Drosophila melanogaster: one gene and its partners. The protein of the gene in region 3 interacts with the protein of the main gene of each other region in a biochemical or structural test. Each region holds a gene or a part of one and is shown on either strand. Other genes may lie near its edges.

Evidence for each region.
Region 1: the proteins of Su(var)205 (region 3) and Stat92E form a complex in vitro, tested with the Drosophila melanogaster proteins (one study listed by BioGRID).
Region 2: the proteins of Su(var)205 (region 3) and Alh form a complex in vitro, tested with the Drosophila melanogaster proteins (one study listed by BioGRID).
Region 4: the proteins of Su(var)205 (region 3) and Su(var)2-HP2 form a complex in vitro, tested with the Drosophila melanogaster proteins (2 studies listed by BioGRID).

The regions. Positions count from the first base shown.
Region 1 is NT_033777.3:20,546,231-20,554,871, forward strand, and holds the start of Stat92E (Signal-transducer and activator of transcription protein at 92E), read right to left. Parts: upstream 4,878-8,641; 5' UTR 4,491-4,877; intron 1-4,490. Other genes in the region: DPCoAC (dephosphocoenzyme A carrier), read right to left, coding at 6,679-6,826, 6,897-7,083, 7,340-7,605, 7,666-7,969, 8,476-8,641; att-ORFB (uncharacterized protein), read right to left, coding at 7,354-7,605, 7,666-7,969, 8,023-8,060. UniProt on the Drosophila melanogaster protein: Might play a role in signal transduction and activation of transcription.
Region 2 is NT_033777.3:7,119,438-7,127,712, forward strand, and holds the start of Alh (alhambra), read right to left. Parts: upstream 4,749-8,275; 5' UTR 4,502-4,748; coding exon 4,467-4,501; intron 4,302-4,466; exon of another isoform or gene 4,203-4,301; intron 2,317-4,202; coding exon 1,838-2,316; intron 1,702-1,837; coding exon 1,505-1,701; intron 1,446-1,504; coding exon 25-1,445; coding exon of another isoform or gene 1-24. Other genes in the region: CG10098 (uncharacterized protein), read left to right, coding at 5,223-5,369, 5,438-5,625, 5,982-6,708; CG10068 (uncharacterized protein), read right to left, coding at 7,335-8,035, 8,136-8,275.
Region 3 is NT_033779.5:8,205,438-8,212,924, forward strand, and holds Su(var)205 (suppressor of variegation 205), read right to left. Parts: upstream 5,686-7,487; 5' UTR 5,407-5,685; coding exon 5,293-5,406; intron 5,230-5,292; coding exon 5,113-5,229; intron 5,037-5,112; coding exon 4,916-5,036; intron 4,667-4,915; coding exon 4,398-4,666; 3' UTR 4,189-4,397; downstream 1-4,188. Other genes in the region: CG8419 (uncharacterized protein), read left to right, coding at 842-2,032, 2,090-2,338, 2,401-2,959, 3,013-3,161, 3,217-3,834; Ssb-c31a (single stranded-binding protein c31A), read left to right, coding at 6,009-6,065, 6,122-6,397; CG8372 (uncharacterized protein), read right to left, coding at 6,682-7,272. UniProt on the Drosophila melanogaster protein: Structural component of heterochromatin, involved in gene repression and the modification of position-effect-variegation. Recognizes and binds histone H3 tails methylated at 'Lys-9', leading to epigenetic repression.
Region 4 is NT_033778.4:14,612,855-14,621,373, forward strand, and holds the start of Su(var)2-HP2 (Su(var)2-HP2), read right to left. Parts: upstream 5,265-8,519; 5' UTR 5,013-5,264; coding exon 4,964-5,012; intron 4,892-4,963; coding exon 4,574-4,891; intron 4,507-4,573; coding exon 4,192-4,506; intron 4,133-4,191; coding exon 3,989-4,132; intron 3,908-3,988; coding exon 3,656-3,907; intron 3,547-3,655; coding exon 1-3,546. Other genes in the region: Sec61beta (Sec61 beta subunit), read left to right, coding at 6,046-6,048, 6,105-6,316, 6,380-6,467; CG12863 (uncharacterized protein), read right to left, coding at 6,979-7,708, 7,764-7,952, 8,004-8,398.

The DNA of each region.
Region 1 (8,641 bases), on a different chromosome or scaffold from region 3:
CCGTATATCCAATGCATATATAGTATAATATATACATATCTAAACAAAAAAAAACGCTTTCTTAGCACCCGGAAGTTTGACAGTTTCTATCCATCCTAGCATGTACCAATGGGAAATTCCAAAATTCTGAGAACTAAATTAATTTTTTATAATCTACCTAGCTTCACAGTTAAGCAGTATGCGCACAGAAAAAACTAGTGCCTCCTGCGACCTTGAGCCTTGAGTTTTCAACAATGAAAAACCAGTGCATACAATGAAAGTGGTTTGCCAATTGCAGTGAAAAGCGAACTGGTTGGGCTGCTTTTTGCATCCGTTGTTTGTTGTGGGCTGTGTGCATGTAAAGCAGCGGATCTAAGAAAAATATAAGTCAGTTCAGCGTTCGCCGGGGGAAAACCCACAGTTCATAGTAATATGCATTTACAATTGAGTGCCAATTGTTATGGCATACATACATTCTTGACCAACGGATTGTGTTTGCCTATTTGTACGGACATGTGTAGATACTTTTGTATCTGTGCGCACGAGATACAGATTCTCAACAAGCTCTCGCCGGCCAGCTGCCCACTCAAAAGTTGACTTTTCGCTGCCGTCCGGGCAAACAAAAAGCGAATCACAAACAGCACAGAAATACGATGAGAAATGGCATGATAGACAGGGGAGGGGGGAGGAAGAAAGAGGAAACAGCCCAGTTGCACTTTTAGTCGTGTGATTAATATGCCGAGCTAGAAAAAATGCCGAATGGGCGCATTTTAGATAAGCATTTGGTTGGATGATGACTCATCGTCTTCGAGCACCAGGCAATCGTTACTCCACACACCGAGCCACTTTGTTTATCTTTCTATATGTGCGATGCGAAATTTTTTGGGATAAACAATCTGCAGATTCAGATGGAGAATAATCCCCGTAAGCAGTATGCACACACAATATCTGGCCTATTGCCACAGCGAAAATTCTGGAAAACGTGTTATCTGCAAAGTGGGCGTATAAATAAGATATAGCCGCAGATAGAAAAGATTCCCATTTTCATGCGAATTGAAAAGCTCCAAGGAATCCAAGTGCGGCAAGTGGAAAGTTTTATGGCAGCAGCCCGGCACTGATAAGACTGGTTGGAACTACGTATCATAAAAGGTAAGTTGGGACAGTGATACCTCGTTGCGCGGAATCAAACTTTTTGTATGGAGCATACGTTCTGCACAATAAAATAAAATGGGAATTCAAAATTCATTTGAAATATCAATAAAAATAGTTAATAATAAAATACAAAATATTGTGGGCGTAGAATTTGTATGTCCAATAGCAAAACCTTTTAGCTTTTAAAGTTCTAGCGATCTCGACGTTCATACATATGTTAGCAATAATACAATTTATTTAAATAAACCATAAAAGTGTTGGCATATAACTTTATAAAAATTCGCGTTCTTTGAGTTGGACACACCAATTTGAATATTAGTCATGCACTCTGTGGGGGGAAAATTTGTATGGGCATGACATCAAAGTTGGGATTGTTATGCCCGTAGAGCTTTGGTTGGGGTCACTACAATTTCCTCGGCCCTTAGTATGGCGTCCAAGCATTTCTGACCACTTCGAAAACCGACGATTGCAAACACCCAAGCGCGGGTGTGCTGCCTTTGTTGTTCCTGGCTGTTCTTTTCGCTTTTTGCTTTTTGCTTTCTGCTGCTTCGACATTTGTGCCAGCCAGCCGCGTTCATTTTATATTTTTCTTGTTCAATTTTTTATAAACAACGCACACACTTACGATTGCCCTGTGAGAAACGAGAGTCGTTTGTGGTATTTGTTTTTGTACTCATAAAAGTTTAATAAGCATGCCTCAGTGTTCTTTTCCTCGTGGTTGTGTGGGTGTACGCCGTACATCGACAATGGAAACCTCGCCGTTGCACCACCCCCAACCGAGCCCAAAGTGAGCCCCCCCACCACCACCACTTTGCCACACCAAGTATTATTTAAGTAATCATTTATCGTTGCTGCTCGCCTGACATTTTGCACGATGTTTGTCGGCTTTTGTTTCGTCTAACGAGAAACACCGGATCGATTGGGTTATATTGAGCTAAGTAATGTGTCGGCACACGGTTTCTTATCACCACATAATGCTCGTTCCGCGAACAGATCAATGTTTGTTGTCACACTTGCCCCGATGACCTCACTTATCTGTTCATAAATCCCACCGATCTTAAGCTCATAAAATATGTGCTCAAGTCTATTTGTCAAAAAATAAAGTAATTAAGGAATATTTGTCCAAACTGTCATCTGCAATACAAATACAATCATGGTTGGGTATCACTCAGTTATCAGTCTTGTGTTGGTGCTCAATGGTTCGAAAAGTGATTATTCGACTGAAGTCAGTCAGGTTATCAAACAATACAGCTACCAAACATTGTCTTTTATTGCTTAACTGTAAAGTCTTAGCAAAATTCCAATAAATGGGACTCCTTATCAGCGGAGTGCAACAAAAGATTCGCAGAAATGTATTAATCCTCTATTGAATCCATTTTTTACTGCTCTATATTACTTATTTGTTTTTCAAAAACTAATTAGCATTAGGGTCAATATTTCCATAACCAATGATTTGGGTTTTTCAAGTAATAAATAAATATGATCTTTAATTTTTTAATAATAAGTACAGCTTTGATTACGAGCTAGACAGATTTTCGGGTTTCAAACTTGATAATTGGGCATATTGACAAAAATATTTGTAAAATACGTTGTAGTAAGTTCCTCAAAGTAACTTCCTCAGAAACTATAGATTGAAGTTTTGATTCGCTAGTTCGGGGGCCATCTACTACCACCAGAAAAGCATTTTGCCAGCGATAAGCAGGCACAATATGTGTAAGTACAGTAGGCCCCCAATCTATTGAAGGCGCAGCAGAGTGCTCCATTTACGACAATGAAATGCAACGCAATAAACGACTTTGATAACGAGGTGTCAATGTAACAAAGTAAATAACGAGAGTCGCCGATAAGAAGCCGGCTTGATTTGCGCTTGAGGATAGTGATTCGCATAATAGCGCAATAATTAGCACTGCCTATATCGAAGATCCAGAAATAACTTTAAACACATGTGGTGGACTGGATTGGTGGCGATAAACTTTGCTGCATAAATACATATGTTCAAATCTGACGGGAGTGAGTTCCAACACGATATAGAAGAACTAATTGGGGAAACGAACTTTGAGCACCCTATAGTTTTAAGTATCGTGGCATTTAGAGTATATCTGTTCATTCGAATCTATATACAATATATTTTCAATATATAAAAGCCACATTACTACTTTATTTCAATTCAGGGTGAACTTTAAATGTAAAATATAGTTTCTCAGACCGTAAATACAATTCTGAATAAAGTACAATATTATATTGTATCTCCCTTTCATCTATAAAATTAATGATTTTAACCACTGTTAATAAATAATGGTAGTTATATAATGTATGCGTTTTATTAGTTGACATAAACGAAGAAACCCCTCTGCCAACTAACCTATGTAAGTTGACCGTCCACCTGGCCATTGATTGGAGGACCCACTATGACCAATGATAATCTACGGTGTCCACAGCAATGCGATCGGGTTTATCAAATGTGAAACGCCAAGGGGTTAGCTAACGTCGGCGTCGCTGACAATCGTAATTTGTCCGAAGTGGTAGAAGCCAGCCGGGTTATAGCCAGGCCAAGAAGTCATGGTGGAGAGAGGGGAAGCCCGCGACGGAGGAGGGGGCAGTAAGCGACCGACGACAGCGAGCAAGATAAAAGTGTTGAGCGCGCAGAAGTCGGCGACGTATGAAAGCAAGAGTAGCATGTGAATATGAGAATGATAGGGCCCCGTACGTCAGACACTTGAAAAAATAGTGCTAGAGTAACAGTTAAATATGTGTTGCCAAATGTTGTGATACCAGGTGTTGAATCGGGCCCCAACACATGGGATTAATTTACCAATGCCTTATACAAAAAATTGTATTATGTATTTATACAAAAAAGCTTAATTTTTTAAACAGAGGACATTAAATATATATAATTTTTAGTTTTATAGCCTCGCTTTCTCGCTGTGCAAGGGAGCGAGTGGGACGGTGAGATGGGGAACAGCTAATATACTCGATATCAGTGTTGTTGTTGCTGCCATTTGTGCTATTGCACTCGAAATTCTTGTTGCCTTTGTTTTTATGGGCTTTCCAGGAAACAACAATGAACGGGGAAGAAGAAGACCGGGAAACAGGAGCGTGAAGAACACATGTGCATGTGTGTGGGTATTTTGTTGATGTATAAATAAAGCGTCAAGTGGAAACACATGATGATGGTGCATCGAATTTGTGGCCAAAAGGCAGAGAACCTTCGTGAAGGCCTTGCGGAACCACCACACGCCCACCCACATTATTTGCGCAGTGCACATTTGCAGCGGAGTCCTCCCACCCACACACGCATTTATATACGTACCCCCCACCACTCGTAAATTTGTTGCTCTTTTTCTCCTATTTCTATTTACCTTTGGTACACAAACACCAACGCACAACACTGTGTAAACACACACGGCTGGCTGGTATCGGTTAGTTTGTATTGGTACGCCTGCCGCTGTTGCTCTTCGATATTTTTTATTATGTATTTGCCGTTTTATTTTTAAATCGCGCTGGCTTCACGCACACACAAACATTACACACACGACGCAGTGCGAGGGAGACGGAACGCACATGCACACCCGCACACGCACTGAGAATTTAGAAAAAAAAACTAGAGTCTCGACCAAAGGAAATCCTATCAGTTAAACGAATCCTTGAAAACAAAGTGCACTTGCAAAAGAATTCAACTGGTTGCGCATTTGAAAATTGCTCCGCATTCGAACAATTCCCTATAGTGGCTAAAAAACGACTGCCGCGTCTCTAGAGTTGGAGCGAAAGCGATCCACATGCGATACTATCGGACGATGAACACATGTGAACAATCGCTGTTAACAGTGGGTATCGATTCTGATAAATCTCTGCCAAACCGGGAAGATAGGAAATTCTAATTAGAAAATAAGTTGATTTAATTTTATAGAGCAGCGCAGTAAAATATTGTTAACAACCAGGGACCAAAGCTCGATAACTATGGTAAAACAAAATTTTTGAATTGTTATTACTTATAAATTTTTGACTTGGAATGCACATAATTAAACAAATAGCATTTAGGATTTTTCGTAAAGATGTTCTAAAAGAAACATTAAGACTAAACAAGTTACGAAATATATATCTCTATCGTGCTAATATTCCACTAAACTTTGTGAGTTAATTAAAGAAAAATAAGTTGATTGAAGTTATTATTTAGAAGTAAAATGAATTTGATGGTGGAAAACTCTGATAACCCGAAGTGCAACCCTCGCACCCCTGTTAAGTTAACAGCACTGTCGGCTGCTAAAGAATAAACAATTTGCGAAGCTAATTGCGATAAACAAACATTTATCAAAGGGGGTTTACACCCATTTTCGCATCATTGTGGCGCCGCAGATATGAGTGCGCATGTTGTCTGTACACACACGAGCTGCCACCCACACATATGCACCGCTGGCGGTGTAATTAATTGCATTTGATTGATTTGTCCACCGAAAGTCAAGGTTACCCCAGACGCAGAGAAGCACAATTAATGGTCTTTTGCCAACTCTTGTGTATTCTGCATATAAACATACGCGACTTCTGAATTTTCACCTGTTGTGCGCAGCAACAAGCGAGCATGAGAATGCCACCCCCGACCCTCTTTAAATGAAGAGGGTTGGTGCTCGGAGAGGGGTTTTTTTAAGGCTGTGCCCCGTCTAATCAATAGGCCTTAAATAATTAATCCATTCCACAATCGGCGCAGCACAGCAAATCACTCACCTTTCAGATTGCCTTTTTGGTTATGGCAGGTGTTGGGGGAAAAACGCTTTTTATCCTTAAAACAACACCGCCTGCAGCTCACGGCTGTTGGGCCACCTAATTCCAGGGCAAATAGTCTTAATTATCACTTTTAAAACGCACTAAATTTACGTTGTTTTCGTTTTGCGAGCACTCGAATTTTTGCGAACGCGACTACCAGCATATTTCGATATACAGCACCCCCGCAAAAGATGTTATCGCGTAATCGCCGGAGGTGCCACCTGTCACAACCGATGGCGCGCGTTTTAAAAACGATTGAGATAATCGATCAGTTAAACAATTTTGTAAATTTTAATAATAAAAACACACTAACATACAAGAATTACATAGTATATGCTGGTGTGAACACCCTCAAATTCATGACTATTTTAACAGTCGCAGCGCCTTGACATTGAGTTGGCAATACACAATATACAAAATGTTCGGGTAAATCGTAATCATTAATCTAGGAGTGTTATTGTCAAAGCAACACCATTGAATACGAGGTCCTGGGGAGCAGTATGTGCCAGGCGAGTCATTATTCAGACAGTTTATTGGCTGATATACTTTCGGCTTACGGCGATAATAAATCAATTACGGTTAATAACAAAGTTAAGCGCTTTCGGGTGTCTTCACTTCATCGCTTCTCTCCCTCACAACTAACAGCTAAAAAATATCTAACAATTAGAGCATGTCGGTGCTTCACTTCTATTTCCTCAGCTCATCCATCGATCGCGAGACTTAAGATCAAAGCAGTGCGTTTTTGGTGTGGTGTTTATGGGTGACGAGTGGCAGGGGCAGGGAGCTGGGCTATTTCTCAACCCGTCTCAAGTTGGCCAGCTCCGTGAGCCACGCCTTGATCAGATCGTAGGTGGAGAAGCTGATGCCCACGGCGATGGGTCCCTTGATCCAGTTCATGCTAAGTCCCTTGTAGAAACCGTTCTTGACGCCCTCCTCACTGTTTGGAAATCGTAATTAAAATCGCAATTAAAATATGAATAAAATCGTTGACAAAGATTTGCACGCACCGATAGATCTTGACGAGAGTCTCCAGGATGGTTGGGTACCGATCTCCGCCAGCCGTGTTCACCCGCATTGTCTGCATTCTTCGCCGCACAATGTCCAATGGATAGCTGGCCGTTTGCCCGGCGGCACCAGCCGCAGCACCGAAGGCCAGCGAGACTAGAGTATTGGGTTTATTGTTGCCGACCACTTCTGCAAGCAAACAAGTCATTTAGTTGGCAAATTCAGTGAGCACTTAATTAGAATATAGGTAACTTCTACTAGCATAATCAAAATAATGACAATGACCCAGAATGCCGGTTTAAATTGAAATTATCTGTATAATTCCACAATAAACTTGGGGCTTAAAACCGAATTCTATGGACATATACAATATACAAGAATTTTTAAATGAACATCTCCCCTAAGTCTATAGAATTTTATATTAGGATATAGGTAGTATTCCTACCATAGTATTCCCGCTTAAGAGTCTCGTAGGTGAAGAAGGAGGTGCCCGCATAGGGAATCACGCCGAGAACGGTCGCCCAGTAGCCGCGGAACAGCGTCCGCGGACCCTCCTCCACCCAGATCTTGGTGAAGACTTGTCGCAGCGTCCGATAGCCAGTATACCGATCCGTGACGGCCATGCGGGCGCGTGCCAGGTCCAGAGGATACGTCAGCGACTGTGAGGTGATTCCCGCCAGGGAGCCAGCCAAAAACCGACGACCTTTCGTGCTGCAAAATAGAATGATTCGCCATGAAGTTGGTGAGAATCTAGAGCATAGTACAACTCACTTGGTGCCGTCCTTGTCGACGTGCAGGATGCGACGCCACTGCTCGTGGGCCGTGAACTGTATGGCTGCGTAGGGCACGATTCTGGCCATCGTGGCCGAGTTCCCCCGCCACAGGGCCAAAACGCCCTCGTTGGCATAGGTGTTTTGCAGGTAGCGCAGCGAGGCTCGAAACGAGAAGGGCACATCGTTGCGGATCTGGAAGTTGATCTTTGTGCGGTCCAGCGGGGCGATGACCGTCTTGGCCAGCGCCCCCGCCGCTGCTCCGGATATCAGGCTGATCACCACCTGGTCGATTTTCTGGCGCACTGAAATAGTAAATGGTAGAAAATGAATAGAAAATCTCAATATGCATTCATACCCGAATGCGCGACTATGGATAAATAAACGGAGGGACATAGGAAACTTTGACACTCCACTACGCTCTATAATTTAGTTCGGTTTGAAGTCAAATACTCGACATTTTACTGTCGACAAACACAAAAATTCAAGAGTTTTCATTGTGTCGCCAATGTAATTTAGCGTTTCCCTAATTTTTGTTTGGACATGTTTGGCATTCAAGTGGAATCGAAGTGCCTACTATAAAATGAGTCCTGGATTTAAGCTCATAGTTAAATAGGTCCATTTTATAATGCTTAGTAGTTACTAGGAATTGGAAATCACATTGCGAGAAAGTTCATTGAATTTGATTTTTGTACATGTTAATTAAGATTGTAGCTTTATTTACTGCCTTCAAGTATCAAAATGTTTGAAATCCTTGGCTATGCGTCTGGAAAACAAATCTCTCGTGAATTGTCTTTTGCGCCTTACTTACTGGGTGTGACTGTAGTGGCGGGTACGAGGACTACTCCAGATGTTTCCGATGGACTCAGCTGGGTGCGGGATGTGTCCGCATCGTCCAGGTCCGAGGACAGCGTCGCCGAGGCTGTCGTCATCGTGCTCGAGAGCTGACTACCCGTGGACTTGATGGACATGGCGAT
Region 2 (8,275 bases), on a different chromosome or scaffold from region 3:
TTCTTTGCGTTTCTCGTTCCCCACCTATTGTTATCCTCCAGAGCGGAGCCAGAGGTGGAAATACTGCTAGTGGACTTAGCAGAATCCGCTTTTCGTTTTTTCGATGACGAGTTAGAGGAGCTGCCTGAGGAAGTGCTCGTAGATGTAAGGCTATTCGCCGTCGATGACGAAGAGCCTCCCTTATTGGTGCTTAGATTAGTGGCCGCACTGGAAGATACGCCACCAGTACCAGGAGCTATTGTTCCAGGCATGTTGCTTGCCGACGATCCAGCGCCTGACAAATTCTCCCTTTCTGAATTCGAATTACTACCGAATCCTCCGGTGGAGTCGTTCACAGTGGAGCTTGAGGATGTGCTGACTGATCGCAGATCCGATCCAAAACCAGAACTACTGTTGCTCAGATTACTGACTGATTGCAACTTTCCGGCTGCGCTTCCGGCTCCGGTTCCATTTGTGCTAAGGGTGTGGGCATGATTTGAATGCTCATTGGTTGTGGAAGGAGCTGAGTTAAGTCCACTGGCAGCCGAACTGCTCACATGAGTCCCAGTACCGCCCGATCCAGCTGTAGCAGTTGAAGTCGACGAACTGGGCTGGGTGTTGATACTGCTCGTTGTGCTTAAGCTGCTGGTGGCACTGGGTACTTGATTGGAGTCTTTGTTCTTAGAAAGCTTTGATGAGGATTTCTCTCGTGTCGACGAGGAGTTGGAAGATGTTGATGATGCAGATGAATTTGTGAAATTGTTATTCGCTGAATTGGTAGAGCTATCTTTTCCATCCTTGTCCTTGCTGGATGTGGATTTGCTTAAGCTTTTGCTATGTTTCTCCTTGTAGCTGTTGCTACTACTGCTCGAACTGCTGGCCGATGATTTGGTGGTTCCTGGTGCTGTTGACGATTGACTGCTTGTCGATTGCGTAGCACCACCGCTCGAAGCTGATATAATTCCCCCACTTCCACCAGGCACGTTTCCAGCACTGCTGGTGGACGAACTGCCTCCGGGCAGATTATTGTTTAAACTATTGCTAATGTTGCCGATGTTGCTACTCCCTGGTAGTACACTTCCTCCTCCTGTCATATTGCTAGCACTTCCCGAATGCACAGAACTCGAGGAGGGGTTGGGAGCCCCTCCTGTTGAGGATGACGAGCTACTGCTACTGCTGCTAGATGATTTACTTGATGCATTGCTCTTGCGCTGCTTTGCGGAAGATGATACGCCACTCCCACTGCTGCTTCCAGCAGAGATTCCAGCACTGGAGCTTGCATTCAAAACATTGCTGCTGCCACCAGCACTGCCACTGCTGCTGGTAATCTTTATGATTGTGGCCGAAGTTGTCGCGGAGTTCATGGTTGAATCGATCTCCTTCTCGGGCGACGAACACGAATCGGAAGAGGTGTCATGTTGAATGGGTTTATATGGAGGTATTGTTTTGACGTTGCCGCCCTTTTTCTGCAAAGTATCAAGAATTTGAACGGAAAAATCACGAATGCTATCCCTCACATACGCACCAGTTTGCTGTAATGGTGCTGACAGTAGCCGCAGTACTTCACATTATCCAGATAGTTACCAGCCTCCTCGCAGAGCAATCCAAGGCTCTGGGCGCAGGTGACGTGGAACTGCTGCTTGCAATTCGATTTGTTGCACTGCATACAGGCGCCAACATTGGCACGATTTGGTTTGCCAATTTCCTGGCAAATATAGCAAGCTGAAAATGGAAACGGATTGTAATTAATTATTGCCATTTAGCTAAGGCTAGTTTAACAAACAGGGGTTATAATTTTTCAATGAGTAACATTTTTTAAATAATATATGTAAATATAAAACATTTAAACATAGCTTACTCTTCGAGTACCGCTCCTGCGGTATTAATGACAATATGATGGGCTCCATGGTGGTCACATTCCCAAATCGCACCTCTGGGATGTACAGGGCGCAAACAACGTGCGCCCACCCGCTATTATCCGTCTTCTTAAGGGCGCCATCCCGCGAGGGACATAGTTCGCATCGGACGCGAGAGGTTCGCTCCTGGGACTCGCACTTGCGACAGTACCAGGGTCCAGTGGGAACCGTCACAATGCCATAGCACGCCTGGTGCACTGCCACAGTACAGTTCTGGCCGTCACAGTAGACGAGCGGGTTCTCCGGCCACCCCCGCTCGTCTGAACAAACGCAACAGCCGCCCACCATCTCCTTCATATCGTCCAACTTGAACTTTTTAATCTTGACCAGCTTCTTGTTCAAGCTTGTGGAGTGAATGGTGTCGTCTTTGCTGGAGTCTAGCTCCAGTTTCGCATTGAATGAAGACGGAATTTTGTTGGAGCTGCAAGTATATATATATATATATATATATATATATATATATATATATATATATATATATATAATATAAGAATTTTCCTTAAGTAAAAAGAGGATTTTTAAAACTCAATATATTTGGGTCCAATTAACGTTACCAGAGGAGCGTTGAAAGTTGAGCGAAAAGTTGAACATACATAAGTATGATGCACTTACGAATCTTCTGAATTTTATTTGTAATAGTATTTCTAATAAAAACAACGACTTTTTACCAAATTTGTATGGAATTAGCAGTAAAATTTATAAGAAATTTATTTGTTCAGCTTTCCTTATCAAGAAAATAAGCATGCTCTTTACTTTTTTCTTTCACATTTTTGTAATAATTTAAAGAACGTAGAGTCTATATAAAACATTTTTTATCAGAGCTCCGCTCCACCCCGCTCGAAGTCGACGATCTTGAGATAGAGGTTCCGGCCTTTCTCGTTATCGATAATATGCTGCTATCGAGGCAGGTGTCTATTGGCAAGGTCATTCGCACTCGGTTTTTCCACAATAACATCAACAAAAACAGTAGCCCTATAAAATATTATACCTAATTGTGCGCTTGTATTTACAACTTGGCCTTCGAAGCGAGAGCGAGAGAGATGGCACATGGAGCCCCGTTCGCAGAACATTTACACGCACACACAAATAATCTCTCAATGTCAAGGTAATTTTGCCGCTGCTTAATAATACATGCTAATTATGTATGTCGAATCATTTAAATAAAGACGGCCGAAAATATAAACAGCTATGCCACCGAATATTGATAGGAGGTTTTAGCACAGCAATACGAACAACAAATATTTTTAACTTTCACAAAACGGGCAACGCACACACAAACACTCTCTTCTGCGGCATTCCGTGGGCTGGTGTTGGTTCATTGAACCTGATTTAAATGGGCTACCAAAAATAAAACAGGAAAATGCAGCCCTGCCCCGAATCCAATTGGATGTCGATTTGGTCCCAATGTGCGATCGAACGCAAATATGTGGGTCGCGGAGATTTCACAACAACAACGGCAATTATTATAATAATAATAATAACGGCATGCGGGTGCTGTTTCTGTTTCATTCATGCATGCGCATCTGTGCGAGAGATCGCGGCGGAGGAGAGTGCGGGTCTAGTTGTACCGTTATTGGGTCAGCGTGTTGCCAACTGCCGAAAAAGAAAAACGCAGCCAGCGTGTTGCCAACAGCGGGTTAGCTGGAGTTCTCTAACTTAACGGTGTAAAATCACACACACTTGGCCATATGAAACGAGGCCGCTCTGCACGTTGCTTTTGTAATGAAGAGCAATGCACTTTCGACACAAGCAAACACACACTGTCGTCAGGCAGAACAGATACATACACACGCACGCGGGGAGATGCTACATTAATGTTGACGAAATGCCGGAAAAGGGGGCGCGCTTTTGGGGGGTGGAATACGGGTGGGTGTGTGTACATGTATATATGTACCCCATTTAAAACATCCTTCGGGGGAGTTTTTGGGGACTGGAGGGTAGTTTCTCCCAGTTTCCGCAACTCGTCTCTTAAAGCACTGCTTAAATTTCCTTCAAATTGTGTGTATACCCGTGGCTTGAATTTATTGATTTTTATGGGCAATTGCTTTAATTTCACTGGCCAGCAGGGCTTTAAAACGTCATCAGCGGTGTGCCACCAAACAAAAAGAAACTAGTTTCACGGCGGGGAAAATGCGCGCGGTCAAAGTCGTCAAGCAACGCACAACAAAAACAGAAAATATCTATTTTTTTCAGGGAGCGGTCTATCGAAAACTTGAAATTCTTTCGACTTTCTTGCTATTTTCACGCAGAGGTTTCTTATTGGCCGCTAGCACCCTCACAGAATATTGATTTTCTAAATTTCTTTACCCAATTTGGCACTTTAAATAAATGGTTTCCAGCCCGCAGCTGTGGGTTAGCGTTTATCTAGCTTTTCGTGGCTTTTCTCAGCACTTTTCCGCGTCTCACAGTCTTCACAGCCGCCCACGAGTAGCAAACGCACGCAAGTAAAATAATCAACACTCAAAAAAGGCGCTGAACAACACCATCCACCAGCGCAACAACAACACTGTGTGCGCGAGTATTTACAACTACAGCTACAACAACACCAGCAGCACACACCACTCCACACACCTTGTAACTTGTTTGTTGTTGTTTCGCTCGCACATCGGGAGCGAGCAGTGCGGGCGCGAGAGGGAGACAACACCACCTGCTCTGTATACAAATGCAGCTTAGTGGATACAATTTTGCTGGATGCGCGGTTTTTCCAATTGCCCGAATATCGCGAAAAGCTTGCAATTCCGAGACGTTCCGCGTTTTCCTTCTATGCAGACAGGTTTTTGAGCATTTTAACGCCGAAACAAGAAAAACCTCGGTTACCAGACGAATGGGCAGATTTCTAGCGATGGGTACTTTATCAGAGAAGGGTAAAATGCTTAGAGATGGGATGCGACTTGTCTGCATTTTTCCAGATTCAAAGGAAAACCCGATATTCATTATAACTTCCCTCTCTTATTCAATGCTGCTAATTATGGTGTAAATGAAGGTTGTAATTTAAGTAAATCGAATTCTTATTGGTGTTGGATCATAGTATTGTCAACATTAATGCTCGTCATTTAAATAATGGAGATGTATAAGGAAATATTTTATATATAGAACACTAAAATACCTAATCCTTATAGTTCTTTTAGAATTCTCCATACTAAACAAATAAATAACGTCCGATGTTGCCAGACGAGTCAACGGCTCATCGCCACGGTTCATTTCCACGATATATATTGGGCAGTGTTGAATAACGTTTGAACCTTAAACAGCTGTGGGAAAAATCAATTTTGCAACTCCCTCGCGCACTTCTGAAGAAACTTCTTCGCGAGAAAAGCACGGATAAAAATGACCAACGGTGACTGCTTTGTTGTTCTGCCCGAGAACTGTGCCGAAGGAACTTTGATCATCGGTCGCAATGCGGAGGACGAAAAAAACGTCAACGTTGCTTCGGAGGTTTGCTTCTACGATGCCACCGAAGTGCTTGAGGGGAAGGTAAAGACAGACTCCTCCGAAAACGAAGCTCGATCAATGACTCACCACCCAAACACCTCACATTTCAGACTGACGGTGGAGCTTCTGCCGAGACAGGCGGCGATATGTTGCGTGTTATATTGCAAAAACCGCAGCCGGGTCTCTGGGGTGGGGACTTCGGGGCCAATGAACGCGGAGTGGCCCTAGGTCTTACCTGGGCGGCAGGTGAAAACGAGGCCAAGGACAGCGACAGCCTGCTGGGCACGGATATAGTGCGGTAAGTTCTCTTTCAATATCTGCGTATCAACAAACTATGCACAACAAAGCAAATTATTTGCACTTAATATAAATAACTTTCATCACTAAAAATGTATGTACATATGAAGTCTATATAATGCAGAACGTAAATACTTATTCAAAGGATGACATTTTGTGGCTGATGTTTGTAATTAGCATTCCAATCCTTTCGTGTCCTTTAGGGCTTATTAATGCTTGAAGATACTATTATTTCAACATTATTTCATAAGTTAATTAAAAACGAATCAATCAGAAATTTAATGTTGTCGAGAAACTAAGGCTTTTACAATTATTATAAATCATGAAATAATAAATCATCTAATAACTTTTTTGTAGCTTGACTTTGGCTGTCGCCAAAGATGTGGACGATGCTGTAGACCGGATTGGAGCTTTGGTGGCCAGTCACGGTCACGACAACTCCAAACTAAACTTCATCGCTTGCGATGCAGCTGCTGCCTGGCTTGTGAGTTGCTCTGGCAAGGTATGGGCCGCTGAGAAATTGGAGGCCAGCTTCTTGCGTTTGCCCTCCGGAGGACTGGCTGTGACCACTGTGGTGAACAAGTCAAGCGAGGGATTAGATGACGCTGCCAGTTTTGCCGCTGCTCACGATGCAGAGGCCCAGGCCCCGGCAGTGGATTGGTGTGGTCCCAAGCCAGCTGGCGATGGAACATATACCCAGCACGACATGTTCGAGACGCTGCGATCCGCCAGTAATGCGAGCAGCTCGAGGGCGGCTACCGTTTCGGTGCTGTCGGTGAAGGGAATCTCATGCCATTGGTTCACCGGGACGCCCAATGCCGCCGAGTCTGTGTTTAAGCCGTTCGTTTTTGCCCCAAATCCGAGGATCTCGCCGCTAACCCAAGTGCAAGCGGAAGCGGACTTGACGTTGCTGCACAAGCTACACTCGCAACGCAAGCCGGCCGCCTTGGAGCACTTGCGCAGCTTGGAGCTCTCCTGCGTGGACGAGCTAAATAACTATTTCTCTCTGCAGGATCACGCCAGTGACGAGCTGGACGAACTGCTCAAGGACTGTGTCGAGGCGGAAGTCAAGTTCTATCGCTAGACCAACGAATACTATCTATATGGATACTCCAAAAACTAGCTTGCAAGCTCTATTGAGCATCGGGATTTGACTTGAGCATTCTTATGGCATTACCAAATAGGCTTTAGTCGTCAAAATATTTTCTTGTGCAATCTCTACTGATTTTATTTCGTTTAGTTTTTATGCTTTTGCGTGATATTTAAATTATTATTTATTCTGTCTCAGTGGGCAATCTCCGACTTGAATTTAAAGTATTATTGTGTGACATTCCAGGCTTAGTTTAACGATTTACATACTTGCATTCAAATATATATGAATACATATACAAATATACATTATATATGGCTCTCAAATAAACGCATAAAATCTGCATTTATACAAAAATTAAAAGGGCTTGTCGTATTTGGATACTTATTTTAGGATTCCTTTTTTTTTTATTACAAAGTGATTTAGAAGCGAAATGAATTGATAATTTAAATTGAAAAATGACAAGATAATTATTTTATTTAGCCCCACTCTAAACATGTATTTACAAAAATGGTCAGCCTGATCTGATTCAATCAATTCCCAATATCGTCAGAGTTAGAAATTATTCAGATACAGCGAGATACAAATTCATTTTCACATTAATTGACCTATTCGTGTTTTTAGACGGATTCTACAACCAAATTGGTCTTAAAAATAGTGCTATCATTGTGCAAGGCCTCTAGTTTTGTAATTTCAAATGACTGGTAAATCTCGCGGAAGTCCATAATGTTTCGTGGGTCGCTCTCCATCCAAAAGCGGTCAAACTCGAAGAACAGATAGCAGTACAACTTGTGGAAATCCTCCACGGTGCTAAAGTCCTGTCTGTGCTGCACCACCAAATTGTAGAAGTGGGTTTTGGCGGCGCCCGTTTTCACTAGATTGAAGGCCATGGAGGTGAGGTTAATGCCGACAATGGCGTAGGTGTAACCCAGGGTGGGATGCATCGAGTGCAGCAGGACATGTTTGGCGGCGTCGTTATAGGCAGTTGCAAAGTAGAGAAGGTTCTCTAGCCCGAGCATGCCCATTCCCCGAAAGTCCGTCTTCGGATCGTCGCCCTGGAAGCCGATGTCCTGCCACTGTTTGGTCACGCGACCGGTGAGGGGAGTGTCTGGCATCAGCAGTTGCCACAATCGCAACAGCTTTTGCTCGTGGTCGAGGTTATCCGAGTCGTATTTCTCCGCCCGCAGCTGTTCCACCTGATGCATCAGTCTGCGGTAGCCCCAGATACTCGTCACGCATGTGCCGAAGAGCCGAGCAAAATCCGGGTGGACATTGTTCTTGATGCGTTTCGCCTGCATCACAATGCGAGCAGCGCGAGGAGCTGAAAGTATTGGGTAATGATTAATAATATTTAACTTAGTGTAAGCTTGTAATGATTATGGTGCTTTGTGCACAGAGATTATACTATTCCTTGGACTAACCGAAATCCAGCAGCTCCGCGTTGCTCACATATGGCGCCGCCTCATCAAGGTCAAGTACAAGTCGTCGTATCTGCGGCCTTTTGGACAATGTGAGGGACCTTTCCACCTGGCTGGTTCGGCTGGCTCCGGCCTTCGCTCCA
Region 3 (7,487 bases):
GAGTAAAAGAGCGAGTGTTGTAAATGTGTGGGGGCTTTGGCAAGATTAGGTGGGAGAGAAAGCTTCGTTGCTTTTGTAATCCTCACAATGTATTATGTCAATGTAAGTGGTTACTTGGCCATTCGATCAGCTAATGGAGCTATTAACGGAAGTTTGGAGCAGCTAGTTGCATTCAGATGAAAAAATACTCAACTGTTGTTATCCGCTATTATTCGAACAATTTTAAAAACACATATGTTAAAAGGTTATTAGTATTAATATGACATTATGGGTTTTCTGTAATATTGAAATTATTATATATTCACTATCAATTGCTCAAGTAACGTGTAGTAAACTACACACCTAAGTTTACCATTGCCACATTTAAAAATAGAAGTAATTTGAACACTCCCTTTTGGTGGTAAATGAAAAAATAATTGATTCACTACCGACATCGGGTCCATCTAGAGTTTCACTTCACGGGTTTAGCGGGGTACTCGGAAGTTGAGACGTTCCTTTGGTTACTCCGTTGGATCTTCTCCCACCCATCATACCACGAAATACTCTCTGGATTCAGAAAATCAGAAAGTCAATCAATAGCAAGTGACAGGTTGTCATGAAAGAACTATTTAGAATGAGCAACCACAACAGATAATTGCACAATTGTCAGTGTCAGACTTTTGCCACCATTCGCACTCGCAGTGCGCCGTGGGTTTCCAATGAGGAATGTAATTGGATTAGGCAGCAACCAAGTCCGAGACCCAGTCTCAGTTTCAGTCCCAATTGCAACGGGAACACGCGGTGGTGCTCCAGATTGCCTGGAATCCGTAGTCCGAGCTGCAGGATTGCATAACCGGGAAGCATGAGCAGGGAAAATCGCTCGAAAATCGCTTTCAAGCGAAAAACGAGTAACGGAAACAAGAGTGGCCAGTTAACGGATTACGAACGCATCCGAGGGGATGTGGAAATAGTTGTTCCGAGCCCACCTCCTACTCCAGCTGTGCCACCCAGTGCATCCTTAGGGAAACTTAAGATAAAGTTGAGTTCTGCCAAAATTTCCTTACGAAAAAACGCACAGACTTCGCAGAATAATCTGCAGACCGCTCCCTTACCAGACGCAGTGCGTCGCAAATCAGCACCACAACTTTTTACCTTTACTATTGCCCCAAAGAGCGAAGTGACTTCGAAAATACATCTACCCTCAGTGCCAAAGCTACCGGGTTTGGCACCAAAGAGCTCCATCCGAAGATCTAGGACTTTGGGTTTGTCGAATAGTGCCCAGGGTGCAGGGTCATCAGGTACAGGGCTATCCAATGTCGAACTCGGTGTGCAGGATAGGGACAGTGGCAGTGAGCCCACTAGCAGCTTGGCTGGAGGAGGTAGCTCTACTTCGCCTGAATCCCTTTTGGATAACATACTCAGCGGTGCCTCCTCCGTTTCCGTACAAAGTAGTAGCAGCAGCCAAGCCAGTAATGCTACGGTGGCACAGCCCATAAAAGCAAAGGAGCAACTGCATCCCAAGAGGCTACTCAGCTTGAAGGCTTCTCCGGAGCTGAGAGTATCTCCACCAACTCCAGACACTACTCAACCCCAGGTCCAGATGCCAACTCAACTTCTGCTTTCACTGACTCCAAGACCAGAGGTCTTTGATGCACCCTCACCACTGACCAGAAGTCCCTCACGATCTCCCGGAATCTCTCCCCCCGTGTCACCATCACCCAGCATTACTCTCAGACCGAGTACCCCTCCCGAGAACACCGTAATCTTCACAGATGATCTCAAGTGCGGCATCTGCCTGGATGTTTACACAGATCCCAGGACACTGCATTGCTTGCATTCCTTTTGTCTCCAATGTCTGGTCAGCGAGAACTTTAAGGACGAATCTTTGTGGGATCAGGATCAAGCTCGCAGTGAGGAGCCCTCGAATTACAGTCTAAGATCGGAGATGGGTGGATCTAGTGCGGAACTTACTGCGACAGTATCACCCGCCAGGCAGCGAGGTTCCAGTTTTACATTGAGAAGAAAGAAGTCCATGGATCGCCTAGTGATAAGGGTAAGATAGCAAGATACAAAGAGGTTATGTCCTATAAAACCCAATTTATTCGAACAGTCCAAGAGTGACGGAAAGCGATCGACCAGTTCCATCGGTACCCGATTCACCGGAAGTTTTGCCAGCGAGGTATCCACCCGCTGCATCCGCTGTCATACCTGTAACTATCCCACGGATCTTTCGTTAGGTGGAGTACGTCAGCTTCCACAGAACTACTTGCTAGTGAGACGCATAGAGGTCTTGCGACTACAGGCTGGGGAGGATGTAATCTCCAGGGTCTGGTGTTCTCTTTGCACAGAGGAGATTAGCGTAAGGAGGACGAAGTCATTAAGTGATTTGAAGGCTGTCTAAAAGCGTATAATCTTTTCCAGGCCACCTACCACTGCATTAGCTGCACTTTAAACCTCTGCACCTTGTGCAAGGAGGCACACGAAAGGCAAAGGAGCACCGCTAGCCATCGAATGAGAAGCATCCTGGAACTTAGACGCGCCAGGAAGCAAAAGCAACAGCAGATGGGATTGGGAGATAGTAGCAAACTAGTGCTACGATGCGGAATCCATACCAACTTTGAGCTGAAGGCATTTTGCACCAACTGCCGTCAACTGGCATGCACCGACTGTTTGGTGATCCTTCATAAAGGCCATCGACATGAGACCATATCCCGGGCAATTGGACATCAGGGTAAACTACTCAAAGAAGCTACGGATCAAACTCGTCCCCTCTGTCAATATGCGGAGCACTCCATTGAGAGGTTGAATGCCATAGCACGTGGAATCAACGACCGGTGTGACGACATCCAGACTCAAGTGGAGCGGTACATGCAGCAGTACATGGATGCCCTGACAGTCCATCGCAAGACTCTGCTCCAGCAAATCAGCAGAGCTAGGGAGTCCAAAGTGGAGGTAGTGCTCAAGCAGCAACTTGATTTGGGTAAGACATATTTCATTTGGTTAAAGCTCTAGTTATCTGACGTAGTCCTGTAGAGAAACGCACTCAGCAGGCCATGGATGCGGTTAGATTTAGCCAAGAGCTGTGCGAGATTGGTGCTGATGTAGAGATTCTGAGTTATGTGACTATACTTCTAAGGCGTTTGGAGTACTGTCAGCAATTTAAGCCGCCTGTGGATCCCAAGGTAGGTTACCAAATTGCTTGTTTTATTGTTTTATAAAGTAAACCATTTTACCCAGATATCCGACTCGCTTCACTTCCTACCAAAAATCCGTGCTCCGTCGACAAAGGACCAGCGCGATATCCCTCTATATGGCATCATCACCATGCAGGTAGTGGAGCCTAGTCTATGCACCCTTGAGTGGGAGGGATTTTCACAGCTGCGCCTCCACAAAAAAGCGGATCTTCTGCTTCACTCTAGAGATGCCGACGGGGTTTCCCTCTGCCACGGTGGCCTGGAGATCAACTGCATGCTGAAGTACAAGGACTCCAGTTCCAAGTTTCTACCCGTTGAGGTGTCGGACAATCGTGATGGCACCTACAACATATCCTTCACCCCGGATGCCCAGGGCACGTTGATTCTCACGATCACCATTAACGACCGGCCCATCAAGGGAGGTCCTTTCACTTTTCAAGCGCGACAGGTTCGTCCGCATACGGGCATCTACCACTGCTGCTCCTTCTGTTCCGGAAAGGGCAACCGGAACGTGATGTGCTCGTGTGAGGGTCATATGCCTGGATATAGTGGCTGCGGTCATGGACATGCTGGACATCCAGGGAGACGTCATTGGTCCTGCTGTGGAAATGTCCTTGAGAACTCGGAATGCAATGTGGCCAACAAACTGCTTAATTCTTAAGTAATTGATTAGGATGCAGGGCTATAAAACGAATAAATTAACATATAGCCAGGTTTCGCCATTTTGTTTGTTCATCTTGTGAAATTTCAAAGATCTTGTAGTTTATACGCACGCGCAGATAGACAACAAGGATACTTCAAAATAAACGTTTTTCTACCTGCAAAATACATGCATTCCAACAGACCCGACAGTCCATTTACAATGTGCACACAATAATCTCAGATTGCTAAGGCTACAAAATCCCTTTCGACCTCTGGAATTACCAATTGAATTCTCCTTATTACCATATGGTCAGCATATGCGCGTCATATCCTGACCGTTGAGCAACAAGTCGCAAATAAAAGTTACTTATATAGGCTCCAGCAGAATAAAGGTTTTTTTTATTTATTGAAAATGGTTATCATAAATACAGACACTGACTCTGGACATTTATGGAAAAAAGTCCGATGCCTTAAGAGTTGGTTGGGTGGTTTTGAAAGCGCCTGCAAGGAGCTATAATTCTAAGTGGGTAATTTTTCGTTAAATGTATAATCGTTCTTTTTCGCTTTCGATGATCCAACTGTTTAATCTTCATTATCAGAGTACCAGGATAGGCGCTCTTCGTAGAAGTGGATTACCATTCGTGGGATTTTTTCATTGGCCACTGAGGAGGGCACCATTTCTGCTTGGTCCACGCCTTTGAACTGAATGAGGAATGTCAGGCGGCCATTATTGTCGGAGGCACCCAAGATCTTTTCGGCCTCCAGGCCGCGATCGAATCCGGTAGATCCTGAAACGGGAATGGTGTCCTGCTCCGCATCTGTGGTACGTTTTGATTTATTGCCAGAGGGCGCTAAATAAATAAAATAAAAACAAGTAATTAATACAGTGCAATTTTTTAATAGATGCATTTTTTTATTGCAAAGACCATCTTTTTCTTGCGCATGCCATTCTTGCGAAGGACAAAATTTGAGATACATATGTGAATACAGTTTTGACGAAAAGGGCAAATAAATGCCAGTGGATATTGTAGGTGATGACTATTGTTATACCAATTTGTGTACAGAAAATATTTGTAGGTACACTCAATTCCATAGCTTACCTGTTGGTTCTTCGGACTTTCGCTTGCTTGCTGTGGACGTCGAACTGCTGGCGCGTCCTTGAGTTTCCTTGGCCTTGGCGCTGCTGCTGGGTCGATCCTTCTTGGAGGCGGCTGACTTCTCCTACGGACCGAAACGAGATGTAAAGGAAATCCTAGCAAGCACAACTGTACTTGGCATCGCATTGTACTTCACTTACCTCATCCTTGCGGCTCGCCTCGTACTGCTGGATAAGATCCTGGCAGTCGAGATTGTTCTCCGGCTCCCACGTGTTCTCAGTTTCGGGATAGCCCTTCCATTTCAGATAGTACTCCACCTGCAGGTGGAAAATGGCGTTTTAGGACCAAATATAATGGGACGTCTGGTTCGGAAAACTCACCTTTCCCTTGCGCACCCGCCTGTCGATGATCTTTTCCACGGCGTACTCCTCCTCCTCCTCTTCGGCATCGGAAACCTTTGCCGAGCTCTCAGGGTTGTCGATTTTCTTGCCCATTTTGTTTTTATTAAAATACTTCACACGACAAAAAATAAGGAAAGAATTAGCACAACCGCACACAACCGCACACACACGCAAAGTACGAAAGGAAAGTACGATTTTTAGTCGACTCTCTTTGCTTTCATGGCTCACCTAGATTAAATAAGATCTACACTTTATGCACGCAGCTAAATTGGTTTTTATAAGCCTGTGTGTTGGCGCTAGAAGACTTTCCACAAAATGAAAAATCTGCAAAAAAATGCGCGTTCTAAAATGACGCCGGCCGAACAGTGTGCGAAAGTACGCGTGGACTGCTAAGACTACGCTTATCTATTTTCCGATAGATTTGCACATCGTATTAATTTCATTTTAAGTCTAGAAAAATGTTAACACTAAGAACTATCTAAATTTTACAACATAACTATAATAATAACGTAACTAACTGATCGCCAATATCTGTTTTTAAAAATTTTGTAATAAATCGATGAATCGATTAAGGAATCCGTTGTACCACAACTATTATCGACGCGTTTCACAGCACTGAATAAGTTGCGCGAATATTCACGAATTTTTTGACAATTTGCGTTTTGTTTCTTCTGTTTTACGGAAATTCTATAAAAATGCCCAAAACAAAGAAGAAGGATTCGTCCTCAGATAGCGATAGCGGTCCAGATGATGTAAGTTAACTAGAAATACACCAAAACTAGGTATAACAAGTTAAAACCTCTTTCAGCGTATCAAGCCGGCAAGCAAGAAGGCGAAGGAATCTGATGCTCCAAATTCAGATCCAAAAGATTCGGGCGAAAATGGTGCTACATCTTGGACCCTGGAAGGACTTCGCCAGGTGCGAATCAACGAGTTCCGCGGTCGCAAATCGGTGGACATTCGAGAGTTCTACGATAAGGGCGGCCAAATTCTTCCCGGCAAGAAGGGCATCTCCCTATCTTTAATTCAATGGAAGAAACTCCTTGAAGTGGCCGAAGAAGTCACCCGCGCGATCGAGAATTAATTGAAGTTCATCCACATGCCAAACTAAGTCGTAGCCATATGTACTAACTATAGACATATCCACTGAATAAACGTTATCTTAAACACTAGTAATTGAAAATCTGTATTTTCACAGTTGCTGAAGCATTAATGAATGACCAACTTAATTGCCTGATAGGTATTTTCCTTATCTGCTTTGTGGTGGGACTACAAAAAGCACACATATACATAAATGAATGAATCCTTTATTGGACGTCATATGTACATAGATTTGTACATTGATAGCATTTGATATAGATATGAATATTAAAAATAGATGCCCAGAATGGTGAAGATGGACAGGAGAATGGCAAACGGCAGCCAGGTCTTAATAAAACCCCCTATTCCGACGTAGCGGCCGCAGACAAAGAGCCACATGCTGAGGATAATCATGTTCCATGCGGTGCTGTCGTAGTAGCGCATGTAGATGAGTGCCGTTGCCACATGCGAGTGGCAGTTGTCACAGAAGATATTGTGGATGCGGGTGCCGTAGAGCACAGATGCTTTGGAGACCGCCTCGTCCCAGGCGTAACTGCCGCCCACCATGTGCTTGGGGTGCAACCTTATGTACCGGGTGGGTCTTCCAAAGGCCATGTTGTCCTCTGATACGAAGTAGGGGCCGGCGAAGTCACGAATCACACCGGACGAAGTGCAAATGCCCATATGTCCGATCATGGGCATCAGCCAGGTGAGAACCGGAATGGGAGTCCAAACGATGCAGTAGGGGAAGCGTTGGTCCTTTACGTTGATCGGAGGCAGTCTATCCGGAACGCCATTGCCGGCTCCTCCTCCGGAACTGGCCATCGAGATCTGAACGTCCTCGGACTGTTGCCGCTGCGGACTTGGGTTTGTCGACATTATTACACTGTATTAGGTTGATATTTGTGCGGGGAAGCCACAAGAACAGTCACTCACGGTCTTCCCGGCCGTAATGCCCATGAAACGAGTCGCTAACAATTCCAATTGGGCTTTAATTGTACGATAAGGAGAAAATAAAGCAGTCGCAGTTCACTCACATCTACCTCAGTATTTATTGACATGGAGATTGACAGTGTTGGAAAGCATTGCTGTAT
Region 4 (8,519 bases), on a different chromosome or scaffold from region 3:
AAGGAATGATATCGGAATTATCTGTGAAAGTTTGATCAGAAAATTCATGTTCTTTTGGATCCTGCGTCGAACTGGTTTCCAAATTATTGGCATTATCTAGATCTGGATTAGAGTCGCCTTTTGATGTGGTGATCAACTTCTGTGGCTCGAGGACAATATCAGGATCTTCTGAGGCAGACAATAACGATGTTTTGTTTTTTGTACACATTAGGTAAGTTTTCGTTGGTATTTTCATAATCGGAGTATCGGATTCAACACTTTCTGGCAATGGCACCTGTTTCTCAAAATTAACACCGGCAATGCTCTGGTTTTCATTTTGCGGAGTAATATGTAAATCATCTTTGGGATTCTCAATGTGAAAAGCCTGCCCGCGTTTCCTTATTCTTCCTATTTCTGTTTCGGATAAGTTTGGTTCCTCGTTTGTTTCATCAGATTTAACCATGTCCTTTTTATTGGACTCTGAAGGTGTAGAACATGTAGCTTGAACGGTTTCTGTGTTAACTTGAAAACCACCTTCTATATCAGATTCAGCAATACTATCATTAGGTTTCTTTTCGTTTTTCTTACGCTTGTTTCTGGACTTTGGTTTCGAGAGTCTGGGTTTGGCTGAATCCTGTGAAGAGTCTTTTGAAATAGGCTCCGCGTCCTTTTCTGAAGAAGATTTTGTTTCATCTATATTAGCCTTTAACTTTGAACTATCCTCTTCCTCATGTTTAGTATCGTTCTCTTGGTGTTTCTTATCAGTCTGTCTACTGTCCTCGCCGGTATCTCTTATAGTTGGATTCGAGTCTCCGCCTTTGCTTAATGCATCCAAATCCTTATCCTGATCTTTCATGATTTTTTTGGGACTGGATATTGATGACAATTTCGTAAAAGCTGACTCCTTTTGATTTAGCCTGTCACTCGGTTGCATTGCACTGTCAAAACTTTCATTACTTTTTTTATCGATTATATTTGTGCTACTTGACGTTTCCGTCTTGTCAAGTGGACCCACTACCGCTTCTTTTTTGTTACCAGATTGCTCTGTTTTTTTATCCTTCTTAGAAGGGTTTTCATTTAAAAGTTGTTTTCTTTCAGTGGACTGAGATATGGCGGATGGGCTTTTGTCCTTTTCGGATTTGGCCGCATTAATAACAGATTTTTCTTTACGACTTAATCTGCCGGAGTTTCGCTTATTCTTAGCAGTGACAGGATCACTTTGCTGAGTCTCCAATGTACATTTAGGTCGCATGCTAATTTCCAGAGATGCATTCTCCGCTTTCTTTGCATCCAAATGGTCGGAAAGTGTGTCCGTTTCAGTTTTGAATTTTTCATTTCGAATCCTGCGCGATTTTCTGCGATTTGATCGTTTTTCCTCAACTTGTTCCGTATCAGTTTCAATAGCCGTGGATTGTTCTAAATCCGTATTGGTACAATCTATTTGCGGTTTTGGACATAATAACTCCTCTTTTTCGTCTTTCTGTTCCGATTCACTAGAAGTTAAATGTTCTTCAACACATTTTATGGAAAAAATAGAAGGTATGTCTTCATTGGAATCTGCTATTGCCTTCTTAACTTCTGTCTCACTGGTCCTACTCATCTTTTTTGCCTTCAACGGTTTACCCTTCAACTTCTTCATTTCAGTCTTACTAGAGCTAGGATTTTCATCCGTCAGTATGGAAGTATCTGATGCTGTAGTGGTTTTGGTTATCTTTACATCCTTAGTTTCAGACGCATCAGGTAGCGACTTCAGCTCTATCTCTTTTTCCTTATCTATTGTTATTAAATCTTTGGCCAACTTGGAGACTGTCACTTTCTTTTCCATCGGAGAGCGTTCGTGTGAGGAATGACTTTCCGCTGGCGACCTTCCTAGTCTCGGACTGCTTCGTCTCATTGTATCATCCATAAGTAGTGTGAGCTCGGTTTTCAGTGTCCGCTTCGACCGACTTTCCCTTAGGTTTTGAGGAGTTGCTTTATCAGACCTAAGCGCTCTTCGCGGCACCGAACTTTGCAAAGCTTCAATTTCTTTCGATTTCTTGGGGGTATTAGCTGGGGAGGAATGATTTCGTTTCTTGGATGGAGTGACTGAGCTAGACGGAATATCAGAAACAGACAAAGATTCGGCTTTGGGAGCTTCATTGTGTTCTTTGTCATGCTGTTGATTTTTTGCTACAGGTGTTTTCTGTTGTTCAATTGGATCCTGGTCAGGAGCAGGCAAGTTTTCTTCTGCAGGTGGTTCATCCTTACTAGAGGATGGTGCCTTAACTGGAGACGGTTTTTCCACTGGATTTTCTTTATCAGCTAAAGTTTGGTCTTCGACTGAAGATTGATCATTCTGAGCGGGCACGACTTCCGAAATGGTTTCTTGCTCTAACTCTTTAACAATTTCAATGACTGGATTTTGTTCTCCCTGCACAGATGTCACTGATACCTCGTTGGCTTCAACTCCCTTACCAACCTCAGCGGCTAAGATCTCTTCAGCCAATTTAAAATCCTCAGCAAGTTGGGAGTCGCTTTCCTCAACAATATTTCCCGCTTCTGCCTTGGCTTCAGCCTTTTTAGCTGGTAATTCAACTTCATTAGTAACTATAACCGAGTTTTCATTGGTTTCCTTCGAATTGCCATTGGGAGATTCCTTCTGAGTTTCCTCCTTATCCTTATCCTTATCTTCCAATTCAATATGATTTTTTGCACTTTCGGATACTTTGCTTTCGTCCAGTGCAGTATCACTAGGTGTGTCCACTTTACAAAGCTGTTCTTCTTCGACCTTTGGCGTGGACTCAGACTTATCCAGCGCAACCCTGTCCGGAGCACATTTAAGATCCGTTTCTTGGTGATTTGACGCCATTTCAATATCATCCTGGGGTAAATTGGTAGATCCTGTGAGCTCCTTGGCATTGTCCAAATCGCTAACTAGTTCATCCTGTTTTATTGGCACTTCTAAATTAACCGTCTCCGTTTCCGGATTTTCTTTGCTCGTATCTATTGAGAGAGGAACATTTGTGTTCAAGCTTTCAATTGTATTTTCAGTCTCTGCTGTTTTAGCCTCCTCCTTTGGAATAATTTTGCGAGGCCTTCCGCGTTTTCTTTTGACTGGCTCTCCTTCCCCATCCCGGCAATTAGCACTTTTTTCCTCCATGGTTGCTCCACGGTTCTTACGCTGCTTTTGGCCACGAGGGCGACCTCGCTTTGGTAAGGACTCGCTCTTCGACCGACGCAACTGGGTGCCCAAAGGTTCCGGTTGATCCAGTCTTTCGCTCGAATAGGTTAGCTTTCGCACGTGACCCAATTGCGAGGTGCTAGAATCTGCTGGAATCTTAGATCTGGATAAGCTACGCGACTTTGAGGCAGACCGCTTTTCGAACTCGTAAGATCGCTCCACATCGATCTCCATGATTTGCTCGGCCAGGTCGAGACTCATGCGCTCCACAGCCTCAAGCGTAGCATTATTAGCTACGTCATACAGCTTGCGACTACCGCTAGCCTTGCTGGCCGAGGATTTCGCACTGCTGCTCGCCTCCGGTGGCTCCAAATCCCGCTCCTTTTTATTAGCCTCTTTGTCACTGGCTGCGAAACAAAAAGCAGAAAAAGTTACAAATGTAAGGGTGTAGCAGAGGTAAGGGTTCACGAGGGCGCTCAGAAATGGACGCCCCAATGGACGTTGGTGCACACTTACCCGCTGATTGCTCATTAGCATGCTTAACCTGTTGGGAAGAAGAGGGTTTCTTTTCGTTGGAGCGGGATTTTCTCGCACTATTCTGTTTCTTATAGATTGGCGGCGGCTCGGCGGAACTGAGATTACTCAAATACGACTGCAGGCGTTCGTAGGTGCTGCTCAAAAAAGACTCCTGATCATTCGCATGACGCTGATTCAGCTCACTCTGCGGCTCCTGGCCCTCGTCGTCGGAAACAACAGGTGTCACAGTGTCTACACGGTTTATGTGTGTTTACATATTATGAATATTATCAGAGGGTTGGCAGTATCAACTAGTTAATAACGCTGACTTACCCGCCACCGATGTGGTCCTGCTTGTGTCCGTTGAAATGTCGATCACCGGCTCATCCTCTTCATCGGAGTCTTGATCGCCGTAAAAGTCCGATTCATACTCATAGGACGAATCGCTGTCAGAGTCCCCGTATAAGTCACCCAAATCTATGGAAAATACGAAGTGGTTATGCACAGCCAGATATGTAGCACAATATCGAACTTACTTAATGGATCTGTTTTGGGTTCAAGCCGCGAAGGCCTTAGATCTGTTTTTTGGGGCTTTACAATGGTAACGGTCTTGTTTTTGCCGGAAGCCCATTTATCACCATTTGCAGATACTGCTGTCTTGTTGGCCACAGAATTGGTTTTCTTGTTTTTTGGACATGCATAAGTTTGCCCAGATGACATGGCAATGTTGCTGCTGCTGCTATTGCTAATGCTTCTGTGTGGGGCAGCATCTTGTGACTTTTTGGAACCTGCCTGAGAGGTACTGGGCTTGGGTACGGTCAGCCTGTGCGATGGACGCATTAGGGCTTCTCCTAAGTGTAGGCATAAAGTAAATGTTATTGATAAAATGCGTCATTGAAACCATTGCGAAATGCCCACCTAGGTCGTCCACCGAATCGAACGACTCATACCGTTCGCGCCTCTTGCTCAGCTTTGACTGGCTGCTCTTCCCGCAGAAGAGGGCTTCCAAGGCATCGTTGGACTCGTCGCTGGAGGAGGGAGATGGGGGGCGTCGACGCCTGTCCTGCGACTTCGAGCCAGAGCCCTCCTTAAGCAGTTCGTCGTCGAGGTACTTGCCATGGAAGAGCTTTTGGAAAATGTCCGCATCAATCGACGACGAGTTGCTCGAGTCTGATGAAATGCGCCGCTGCCGCGGAACGCCGGCAGAAGATGCTGTCGGAGCACTCGATTTAATCCCTGTGCGCGCGCAAAGTAGACAGACAAATCACATTAGAAGTATTTATAGCATTGGAAGCTGAAATCACGCACCTGGCAGCACCAAGTCTTTGTACTCGTCTAAATATTCAATGTCCTCCATACTTCACTTTTCATGTGCGTCGGTCGATCGGTGGATCAATTTGCAATCTTTCAACTGCGCCGCGTCTTATCTATTTCCATTAAGGCGAATCGCGAAAAGTTTGTATGACTTGGCATTCCTTTAGCAGAAGGACCTCATATACCCATTAGCGCACAAATGCAAGCACTTTTTCGTTCTTTTCACCGCAAAATATTCCTTTGAAATCCAGCAAAGATGATGCCGCTGCAATTAACGTGAACGTTGTACAGATGTGCAAAAATGACAAAAGCGTTTAGTGAGCCCGCGCTTCGGTGTGGCCGTTCCGATTAACAATGTTTAAAACACGGTGCTTAAGTCACTTAATAATTTTTAGTGATTCGCAGTCGAACCAATACCAGTTAAGCAAAAATATTATTTACAAATTGTTTGGTGCGCGCCAAGAAAATTGCGCTTGCCCAGCTAAAATCTAAAAATAACTTACATGCAAGGTTGCACATTATCGCTATCAAAATCGATTTCATTGATTTTCTATATATTCTATATCTATATGATCTATTAAATGCGTGATTAAGTTTTTATTCTATATAATTATATAGTTATTAAGTATGTATTATATAATTAAATCAAGGGAAATCAAGAATAATAGCATTTATTATCGGAGTTTTAATAATAGCCAATTATATTAATAGGATTCATTCAAATTGATTTAAACAATTCATTTTGTAGAATTAATATTTTATCTATTATTGTTATCTATTAAATTCATAACTTGAATATATTATTTCTTCGTTTTTTTTTTACTAGTTCATTTTAGAGCCAAAGCAGCCGATAGTTGAGTTGCCTTAGCCTGTCATCTCCAGCTGTCTAAGTGCACGATAGCTGTCACCTCAGCGTCACGACCTATCGGCAGCGGTGCCACCACCAAAGTGACGTGGAACGAAAAAAGACGAAGCGACACGAAGCCGAGCACGTCAGATTCAGATTCACGTTCAGATTCCACTTCGCCCGTTCATATTTTCCAGGTCAGTCGGTCCAGAGGAACAGATAGCCCAAAATGGTGAGTTAAACTAGATGGCAATTGAGTGCGGCAACTAATTAAAACACATTTGCCAGCCCGCTCCAGCCAGTTCAACGTCCGTGGGCAGCGGATCGCGCTCCCCCAGCAAATTGTCGGCGCCACGTAGCGCCGGATCCGGAGGCGGCAGCACCCTGAAGCAGCGCAAGACCACCACCAGCACCACAGCGGCCCGGAGCCGTGCACCCGGCGGAGCCGGAACTGGTGGCATGTGGCGTTTCTACACGGACGACTCGCCCGGTATCAAAGTGTAAGTGAATAACTCGGCTATATTTATATTAAAGGCCCAGTGCTAATGAGACTTTTGCTGCAGTGGTCCCGTACCCGTGCTGGTCATGTCGCTGCTCTTCATCGCTTCCGTCTTCATGCTGCACATTTGGGGCAAATACAATCGTTCTTAAGCCATGCATTTCGTAGCCAATAAAATACTTTCACCTCAACGAGCGTGAACAATGTCGACGTCATCATTTCTTTTGCGGCGAGATAAGAAGAGATCCATTCCGCTTGTTGAGGCATTGGTGTGTTTCCACATGAAATTAATTATACCTAAGCTTAAGTTAAAAACCTGTTTAAACGTAATGCATATTTTCAAAATTTAATCGTTTTCCCCCAATCCGTTCGTTCATCCGGCGGGCTGAGAATTCATTCCACAATTTATCGTGGTCATGTGCATCAGAAATTCCGCGCGCAGCCGTTGCAATTCAAGAACTTGTAAGACATTCAACGAAAAGTGTTAAGAACAAATAAATTTTGTATTAAACAAATGTGTGCCCTGTTGTTTATGGATGGTAGTGAAGGTTTTGTCAGTGTTGTTCTTATAAACTGCATAAATGCATACAGTCTAAAGTGCCCCTCAGTATATAAAGAAATGCAATTTGTATTTATCTTTGTACATATATATTTGTATGTATCTTAAAGACACTGAATTGTTGTTTCGTTCATAAAACACTGTTCCCTGAAGTATTTTGAGCGGTACGAGCATCGCTTTTCCCTGTGATTTCGTTTGCCGCACAAAAGGCAGCCTTTGGTATAGTTCGTCTTTCTCTTGCGGAAGTTTGGGCACTTGGTTTCGATATGGCCTTTCTGGCCGCACATCCAGCAGTGTTGTTTGGTCTGATAGAAGGAGCAGTTGTGTCCCTCCTTCTGCGTGCACCTTCTACAGTCGGAGCAATGCACATAGTTGGGTTTCACACAGGCATCGCAGGACTCGCAGTGCTTGTACGTTTGGCCATTCACCGAGGGGCACTTCCCGCAGCGGTTGCAGTGCAGGTTCTCCTTGGCAGTGTAACAATCGCATTTTTGGCAGTACTTATAGCCCTCTTCAGGGGGCAATTGAAGAAGTCGCAGTGGCACGTTGGTGAACAGCCTCACGGGTGATCCACAAAACCGACTCTGCTTGCCCACATTCGTATATCTAAGGTGATTAGTGTAATTGATCCTGTATTCACACATTTCAAGCTCAGGCATTTCCTGCCTGATGTGGTTAGCTGAATAATAGGGATATATCCAGAATATGGACAGTGGAGTGGATGGCAATCGGTTGATTTGATTATGCAGTTTTCTAAGGCTGCGCAGGGTGTGCGAAATCAGTTCAGTGCGACAGCCAAATGGAGGATCTGTTACAATCACCAGTCGATCGGAACTGGCAAATGAGACATTTTATAATTGCGGTAACCATCATATAATAAATATATTACCTGGTACCTGCCAGGAATTGTTCAAAGGGCGTTCGATCGTAAAAGAAGTGATTATTGCACATATTGTACAGACAGAACTCTTCAGGACCCAGATATTCGGCAAATCTCTCATCCAAATCCAACAGAAAACTTTGCAATTTGTGTCGCAGATGGAAGTGTAGACGCGGTGCGCCCATGCATATAACCTTGCTGATATAACTAGATTAGAAAGGGCTTAACTAAATTGCTGGAATTACCCACCTAGCTCCTATATGCTCACACTGATTTGCCAAGAAGTTGAGCGCAGCTTCATCAAAAAAGTATTGGGCATTGACTTTGTCCTGGGAAAGCGCTGTAAGGCTTAGTGTGGGATCACAAATGGCGGGATTAGCTGGTTTCCTGCATGGCAAGGGATAGTCCCTTTTGGTGAGTGCCGTCCTGGTGGTCTGACCCTTCCACTGATCCGCTGGCAAGTGATAATTGCAGAGTTTTGAGTCCCGATGGGCTGAACAGGCATAATAACCCTGGTCGGGAAGTTGGGATTGTCGGTTGAACAAAACCGTCGGCCCGTGCTCGCAGCGGGGGTGCTGATCCTCGGGAGCAGCATCGTCTTCCTCCATTTCAAGCAGCAGCTTATCGCTTTTATTATCAAACATTATGCTAAAACGTTTATTTATCGTGAACACCACCACACTGTCAACAAGCCGGGGAAGAAGAAGAGTGAGCTCCGGCAGTATTCAAAATGTAAACATTCAACTTTTATTTTAAAAATAAAAC